2 linked regions of the Schizosaccharomyces pombe genome follow. The protein of the gene in region 2 purifies or fractionates together with the protein of the main gene of each other region. This does not show direct contact. Each region holds a gene or a part of one and is shown on either strand. Other genes may lie near its edges. The genes, in order: pcf3 and pcf2.

Region 1 (3,932 bases), 1.6 Mb from region 2:
AGCGCAAAGGATGTTCCTCCTTTGAATGCCAAAAGCAAAGAAGAAGAAGAATTCATTTTGTAAGTAAAGCTATTGCTCTATAGCGAGTGTTTGGAATATATTTACTAATACTACTTTATAGGAAATACATTGAAGAACATAAGTAGGAAATCCTTGATTACCGAACGGACGATTAGTGAGTGAAAAATTATCTTTTCATTAGTAATGAAATATCTCTATGTCATTAGGTAATTTTAATGTACACGTTGAGCAAATTTGAAGATGAATGAATACAATATAGCCCTGCAACATACCCATCAAAATTGCAATTAATTAATTGCTGTATAACTTAAAACTTTGTATTACCTCGTGTGATGGATGTAAGTATTTATTAATTAACAATAACATTGGGCTTCCAAATGTGTAATTCATTGTCATCAGCAACCGAAGCAATACATTGTGCCTCAAACGGATCAAAGTCCACTTCATTCACCGTACCTTTATGACCTGCATGCACAAACTCCAAAGGATTAGCTTTGTTAAAATTCCACACATAGCAATACTCTTGGCAGGCACTAACAATCCGACCAGAGTGTCTCCAGCTCCATGACAAACTGGTGCCTCCTAGAGTTAGTCTAGAAGGCACTTTTAATCTATTATCTGATAAGTCTTCAGAAGTGTTAAAAACCGATTTATTTAAGTTCCGAAGGTCCCAAAGCTGTAAATCTTGCTCAGACCCCAAAGCAAACAAAGTCGCAATTGAAGGATTATGTCTGACGCTAAAAAGGGGATTTGAAGCTTTAACTGTTTTCGAACATGTTTGTTGAAGTCGGTTATCACAAATAAAGGCAATTCCATTATCATTTACAGCAATATATAAGTTGGTGTGGTGCGGATGATATTCAACATCATTAACCGGAGAATCATCATAATGAAAATCCTTTACGGGAGTTAAGCACCTCGTATCACGGCTAAAATTATTTAGATCCCATTCTAAAATTTTCGAATCATTAGCAGCTGTTACAAGTCGGCAATTTTGCTGACGATTCCAAGATAGTCCAAACCCTTCTTTTTTGTGCCCAATCAAAGAGATATTTGGTAAAAATTCTTCAGCGGGCATTGAAGTATATTTTGTCCGATCAAATATATATGCATTTCCACAAGAGCTCATAGTAGCTATGATGTTTGGGTTTTGAGGCATGTGTCGAACACGATTTACATCGCCATTATGAAGAATTCGTTGCGAGATTTGGAACTTGCAAGAATGTTGCATACTATAGCCTCCTAGCTCACCAGTATCTTCATTGTAGTGTTTTACTGGATCCAATATAGTTTGATTGAAATCAGGTAAATCTAAATCTGCAAGCTGCAAGAAATTTGGCATCCCTTCAGCGGCATGAGTCCCTAGGAGAAGACGGTTTTTTAAAACCGCTTTTTCAGTGATCGATTCCATTGCTGAGAGCCATTGGATACTTAAAGAGGGCCATGTTAAAGTACGGGTTATTAGTAAGTTGTATAGATGTTTCGAATTTTTTTTCCAACGAAAATGATCCTCACTAATCTGATTCTCTAGAAACTTAATATGTTCGAAATTCTGCATATCCAGTTCGGTGTTCATTTTTGCATACTTTAACAAATTTTTAACAATTTGAGTTTAAACCACCTCTACCACCTCAAAAGAATGCAAGTGATTTTACTTTTAGAGAATGAGTTAAACTAAAATATCTGTCTATAAGCCACTATTTGCCATCAATATGTAAGAAAGTTTTGTTGGAAGGTATGTACATGGAAGGTTGAACCTACAACGTCGGTAGACGAAGCGCTTAGTACGAAATATGGATTACCATATACAGCTGAACAAATAAATGAAAAAAGAAACAATTTTATATCAAGAAGTTATATAATACTATGAATGATCTGCTATGCCAATATTGATTTTTAATATAGCTGTTTTCCATTATTATATTTTAAAGTGTATTTTCTCTAACTGTAAGTTAAAGAAGCAAACGAAAGTGGACAGAGAATATGATGGTAATAATGCAAGAATATTACTAAATAGAATGCAGAAATCTAACGATTATTAGCCGTGGGGATGACAGCGCTCGATTTCAATTAGGAGGCATTCATTAATGAGTGATTAATAAGGGAATGAACTTGTAATATATGTAACAGAGGTGCGATTTCAACTGTTGTTTGCCTATTCTGAGAGTTAGACTGTCATCCATTTAAGATATGTGATACTACGTGGAAGCTAAACACGAGGATTCAAATGCAAAGTATTAAACAGATTCATCCAACACGGGTACAGGAACTCTCTGTTTGACATTGGAGAAAAGCTGTATGCCATTAGATAACTGCTCCTCTACAGCAGAAACCGCCAACTCCATAAATTTCTGTTCATTCCATCTTCTGTTATCATGGAAACGAGATCTAGGTGTTCCCAAATAACCAAGCATACGGAAACAGGCAGTTGCCAGATATGAAGCCGCAAGGAGGAGCACAAACGCAGCAGTGAATGGCTTTAATGAAAACAATTTCCAAGGCCTATGTAGTAATACTCCAGAGTAGGTCCATTCCAACTTATAGTTTAAAATGCATGTCTTAGTAATGCTGTCCATGGACAAGGCGACGGTTTTTTTGCACTCAATATTATAATCTATTACTTCTACATGAGAAGACTGATTAGGCCATACACAAGTCCATTTTAATAAATGAGGAGCAACGTTAAGTTGGTTATGCTGACAAATAGCCAAATCATTGCTGTGCGAGCTACACGCTGGTCCTTTGCAATGAAGCCGTGGTCCATCATCAACGTTGGAGGATTCAGAACTAAATTTTAATGCTTGAATTCTGTCCAGAGAATAAGTATATGCATAAGTATTTCCAATAAATAATGCAAAGAATAATAATACAGCAGTCTTGACAACAAACATTGTGCAAGGCTGGTAGTTGTTTACTTTTGGTAACAACTTTAGCCTTTATCCACATTCGGAAGCCAAAGTCGGATATACCGATGTAAACACCGAATTCACCGCAAAACAACAAATTTTAAATTCAATAACAATGTCGCTATATGAAAATATGAGAAACTATCAACAATTTTAAATATACGTATACTACATAGTAGTAAGTCAAAAGAGAATAATCAGATATATTATTATTTTTCAACAGTTTTTCCTTTTTCTATAAATTAATATATGGGGAAACGGCCTTCATAAATATTATGAAAAACATCACCAGCGCTTGGACAGCTAAAAGTCCGAAATTCTGGTAGAACGAACTTCCAGTTTTGAACTGAAATCATTTAAAAAAATGTTTTGCTTAAAATGTACCAATTGAAATTGTGAGAATTTCAAAGATCGCTTTTTTCGCATATAACAGTGATTAAAGTCCGCAATATTCACAAACTTTTTTTGAACACTCTGATAACGATCTGGATCAAGCACAACAAGAGTTTCTAAAGAAGAACAGAACCCAATGATAATGATAGAATGCCCTTGAAATTGTAAATAACATGGAGAAACATTGCTTGTATCATTAGAACTTTCAAAATGTTTTTTAACGTAAAGAAAAAGTGCATTGCTAGCAGAAGCTTCAGATCTGAAATCAAAGTCTACTAAAGCGACGTTGACAAACAACCCGGTAAATAGGCTATAAACCTCAGTAGCACCAATCCATTTACCATGCAAGTTGTCTCCTAATTGAGCATAACCTTCGGCATCTATACCTTTCATCCAAGCGCTGAGCAACAACGATTGCAAAGAATTGATTTCATAATTTCCACTACTAAAATTACGTTTAAACCAATTTGGATTGGTGTATTGAAGCCAGGAAATTAACATCTGTATATTGCGCCAACCACAGCCCCATCCACGATCAATACCGGTAACTGTGAAAAAATAATCGATGTCACCATCTGCTAATGAGCATCCATCTATGCCGAAATGCTGAAG
Region 2 (3,932 bases):
GAATGATTACATCCAAAGTAGAATGTACAGTTTTGCCTTCTTTTTTTTTTTTAAAAAAATAAAAGGTTCTTTAAAGTTACTAGTACAAAACAAGAAGTACGAGATTTTTACTCCAAAAATCAAAGCGTATTGTCGAAGTAGAACTTTTTTCATAAACATGAAATTATGGATAAACGGGGGTAGGTGCAATACGCTTCTTTGATACTTTTGAAGATTCAACTTTTCTGGGAATTAGTGTTGTAGTAGCTGGTCCCCCAGCCGTATTGTCTTGTGAATCATCAATACTAGAGGGTGAAGCTGATCGTTTCTCCGGCAAAGAAATTTTGTGTTGACTTTTGACACCCAATTCTCCAGGTTCAAAGGTAATTACAGAACAAAAACCATCTATAGAAGTCATTAACAAAACATTTCCATCATCATTCCAAGCTATGTCTGTAAGGTTAGAGTAATGTAAATTTACTGCACGATAAAATGGTTTGCAAGTTTGCGTATCATAAATATAAACAGCATCTTGACATGCCACAGCAAATACCATTCGATAAGGAAGATTAAAAGAGACAGAAGTAAAAGAGAAGTTAGAGAATGAGTTCAATTCATAATGAATTGGAGAAAAACGAACCGCAATAACTGGTTTTTTGAATCCATTAAGACAAGCTACTGGCTGTTTGGTTATACTCCCTCTTGTATAAATATAAGCAGTATAGGGAACTTCAAAGTTTGGTTGACCGTGCGGTCGAAGCCGACCAGCAGGCGTAACTAGTAGTAATCCGTCAGGGGAGAATGCTGGACGACGAAAAAAAGAAACAAGAGTTTCATTGCAGTACAAAGAGTAACTGATTTTTGAATTGAGAGAATTTGGAGGCTCTGTTCGCTCTAAGCTTCCATCTTTGACTATGTTTGCAGTTGATGAGAGAGCTTCGTGCTTAGATACGGGAGACTCATTATTATTAGAAGTTTCGATAGGTTCTGATATCCCCGATGATTCATCATTATTTAAGGGCTTCGTAACAGATATTAATTCGAATTTAGTTACATTATACTCAATACGACAGATGCGCGATTTTAAAACGAGTTGGAATTTTTTCGGATTCTTTTTTTCCTCTTGAATTTCGTATAAACATATAGAACGATCACTACTTTCCGAAACGATGTATTGATTCAAAGGATCCCAACATACCCCTTGAACGTAATGTGAATGGTCGAATTTTTGAGTAAGCAGTTGCCCTTCTTAGTCAGTAATTTTAATTTAAAAAAAAATATTGCCAATAACAACAACTGCCAATTCATACCTGTGTGAGCATCGTACAACCGAAGACTATTATCCATGGCGCCGGCAATAAGAAAATTACTGTCAACCGACCAGCATAAATCATATATTTCTGAACCCATCGACCTACAAACTATTTTGACCTTCCAATATTCTTTAGCTAGAGCCAACTCTTCCGCATCATCAGCCAAAGTTGTTATAGGAGTGTTAGTTGGAACCCATAACATAATAGTTCCTTCATCTCCGGCGGTAGCAAGAATATTTCCTATTTTAATGTGAGCATTGGAAAAAATTATTAGCGAATACCTTCTGGATTGAAACGAACGACGTTCACTGCTTGCGTGTGTCGACTTAACGTAGACAAATATTCGACTTTTGTGGATGATTCCGAAGTGATCAATTGCCATATCTGGATATTAGTATAATTGAAGGAATTTTCTTTCTTTTTTTTAAACTACAACAAACAATAGTTGAAGCAAAAATAGTTTTATGTCAAATCATTACCCTGATTTTACTGTCTCCTCCACATGTAGCAAATTTATTAAGACTGTTCTTTTGAAAATCAACTGAATAAATAGGTGTGTGATCATCATTAGCATCATAATGCCATCGTATCTGCAAAACCTCCGCTCTCATGTTCCTCTTCGTCGTTAGTGCTCTAGGATCGCTTCGCACAATTTTTCTAATAGTAATTTCGTGAGTACGGAACTAACGTGTATATTATTTAGAGTTCAAAGAGAATTTTTTATGAACTCTCTAATATTGTTGTTATTTCTATTATTTGTCAATTTGCTTTGGGTTCAATGTTCAAGCAGCATTAGTAGTTGGAGGAAAAATTTTGAATTATATGCTGAGTGCCCGTTATACTCTATTTTTTTTTATCTATTTAAAGCCCTTTAGTTTGCACAATAGTCTTCTTATTAGCCGTGCGATTACTATGTTTAGTGTTAGGTAAGTTTATAAGGTTCGATTTCTTATAAATATTATGGACTTTCACAGTTGAAATTGCATCCTTTCCCCTTGGTTTAAAAACAGAGTATTTCATATAATAGAGTACAAAATTTGAGGGTTTAAAACGCGTAGTTTACAAGTCTTGGATCAACATCATTTTGGTTTTTAGACATTTTATTATCTTCCATAGACTCATCATTTCTATTGTTTTTTTTTTAATATCTTATCATTTAGGCGGTGAAATTGCGTATAAAAACTGTCAACTATAATAACACATATGAATTTAAAATCTAACTTTTTCTTGTAAGTAATATTTTTAGCTTAAACAAATACTTTGATATTATTATAACCTCTTACTTCATCGTATAATTCCCTAACTACACGCGACGACTTGGTTCACGGTTTTGTACAATCGATGCCGTTCAGCTCTGTTATATTGCTGTTGAGAGTGTCATAAACAACAAGCAATTTTGATGATCAAAATTCCTTAAACGTTACTTTTTTTTGTAAACTTTCTTGCCAAAGGTCGCTCATTTGTATGTGTTATTGTTTCATTCCAGATTTATCTGTTTACCTTTCGTACCACATACTTTTATCTATGTAAATCAGAATGTCAGGACCAGATCATGTTCAATGTCCTGTTTGCGCGAAAACAGTTACGATGAATGACATTAATCCACACCTTGATTCACATTATTCGGACTCATCAGGCCCTTCGAAACCTGTTTCACCCTTTTTTAAAAAGGAACGCTATAAACATCATTTAGAAACAAATGTCTCATCTCACCAGAGCGCTACAAAATTTATAGAGCCTGAACCCAGCCCTACAAAGAAAACTAAACTTACAAGACGGGATACACGACCACTGGCGGAACGAGCAAGACCCAAATCACTAGATGAATATGTTGGTCAGGAAGAGCTGGTTGGTGAGCGAGGCATCATTCGTAATCTGATTGAACAAGATAGGTGCAATTCCATGATTTTATGGGGTAGTGCTGGAACTGGAAAGACTACGCTTGCTAGACTAATTGCCGTTACAACAAAATCAAGGTTCATAGAAATTTCTGCGACTTCGACGACTGTTGCTGATTGTCGTAAAATCTTTGAAGACTCACAAAATTATCTCACCTTGACAGGAAGAAAGACTATTATTTTCTTGGACGAAGTACATCGTTTCAACCGTGCGCAACAGGATATATTTTGTAAGTTTGATATTTTTTTATCTCTTCAATTAACCATGACTAGTGCCAATGGTTGAAAAGGGTCTAGTTACTCTGTAAGTGATGCATTCTAATATCACAAATGCTAACCTTTGAATTAGGATCGGCGCAACAACTGAGTATGTTTAAACACTAATGTTTTCCACCATGATTAACATTGTAGAAATCCTTCTTTCCGACTAAATTCTGCTCTCATTAGCAGATGCCCCGTTTTTGTGCTTAAGAAACTAACGCGTGATAATGTTAAGAAAATATTAAACCATGCTTGCTTACTGGAAAGTGAGCGACTAGGATCTTCTATGCCCAACGTTGAAACATCTATTATTGATTACATATCTGCTATTACAGACGGAGATGCTAGAATGGCCTTAAATGCTTTAGAAATGTCTATTGGAATGCTAAGACAAGGACCCCTGTCACTCGAAGATATTAAGGACAAGCTAGTCAGATCTTCTGCACTTTACGACAGAGTAGGTGATGTTCATTATGATACA

Evidence for each region.
Region 1: the proteins of pcf2 (region 2) and pcf3 purify together in Schizosaccharomyces pombe (affinity purification with western blotting; 2 studies listed by BioGRID, with this or other methods). This does not show direct contact.

The regions. Positions count from the first base shown.
Region 1 is NC_003424.3:2,529,118-2,533,049, reverse strand, and holds pcf3 (CAF assembly factor complex subunit B Pcf3), read right to left. Parts: upstream 1,767-3,932; 5' UTR 1,598-1,766; coding exon 371-1,597; 3' UTR 173-370; downstream 1-172. Other genes in the region: atp19 (F0-ATPase subunit K), read left to right, coding at 1-59, 122-146; protein meu29, read right to left, coding at 2,259-2,912; mug105 (ubiquitin-fold modifier-specific protease), read right to left, coding at 3,231-3,932.
Region 2 is NC_003424.3:4,117,870-4,121,801, reverse strand, and holds the start of pcf2 (CAF assembly factor complex subunit B Pcf2), read right to left. Parts: upstream 1,929-3,932; 5' UTR 1,904-1,928; coding exon 1,772-1,903; exon of another isoform or gene 1,677-1,771; coding exon 1,574-1,676; exon of another isoform or gene 1,533-1,573; coding exon 1,290-1,532; exon of another isoform or gene 1,225-1,289; coding exon 164-1,224; 3' UTR 1-163. Other genes in the region: mgs1 (DNA replication ATPase), read left to right, coding at 2,829-3,420, 3,464-3,494, 3,540-3,557, 3,602-3,932. UniProt on the Schizosaccharomyces pombe protein: Acts as a component of the histone chaperone complex chromatin assembly factor 1 (CAF-1), which assembles histone octamers onto DNA during replication and repair.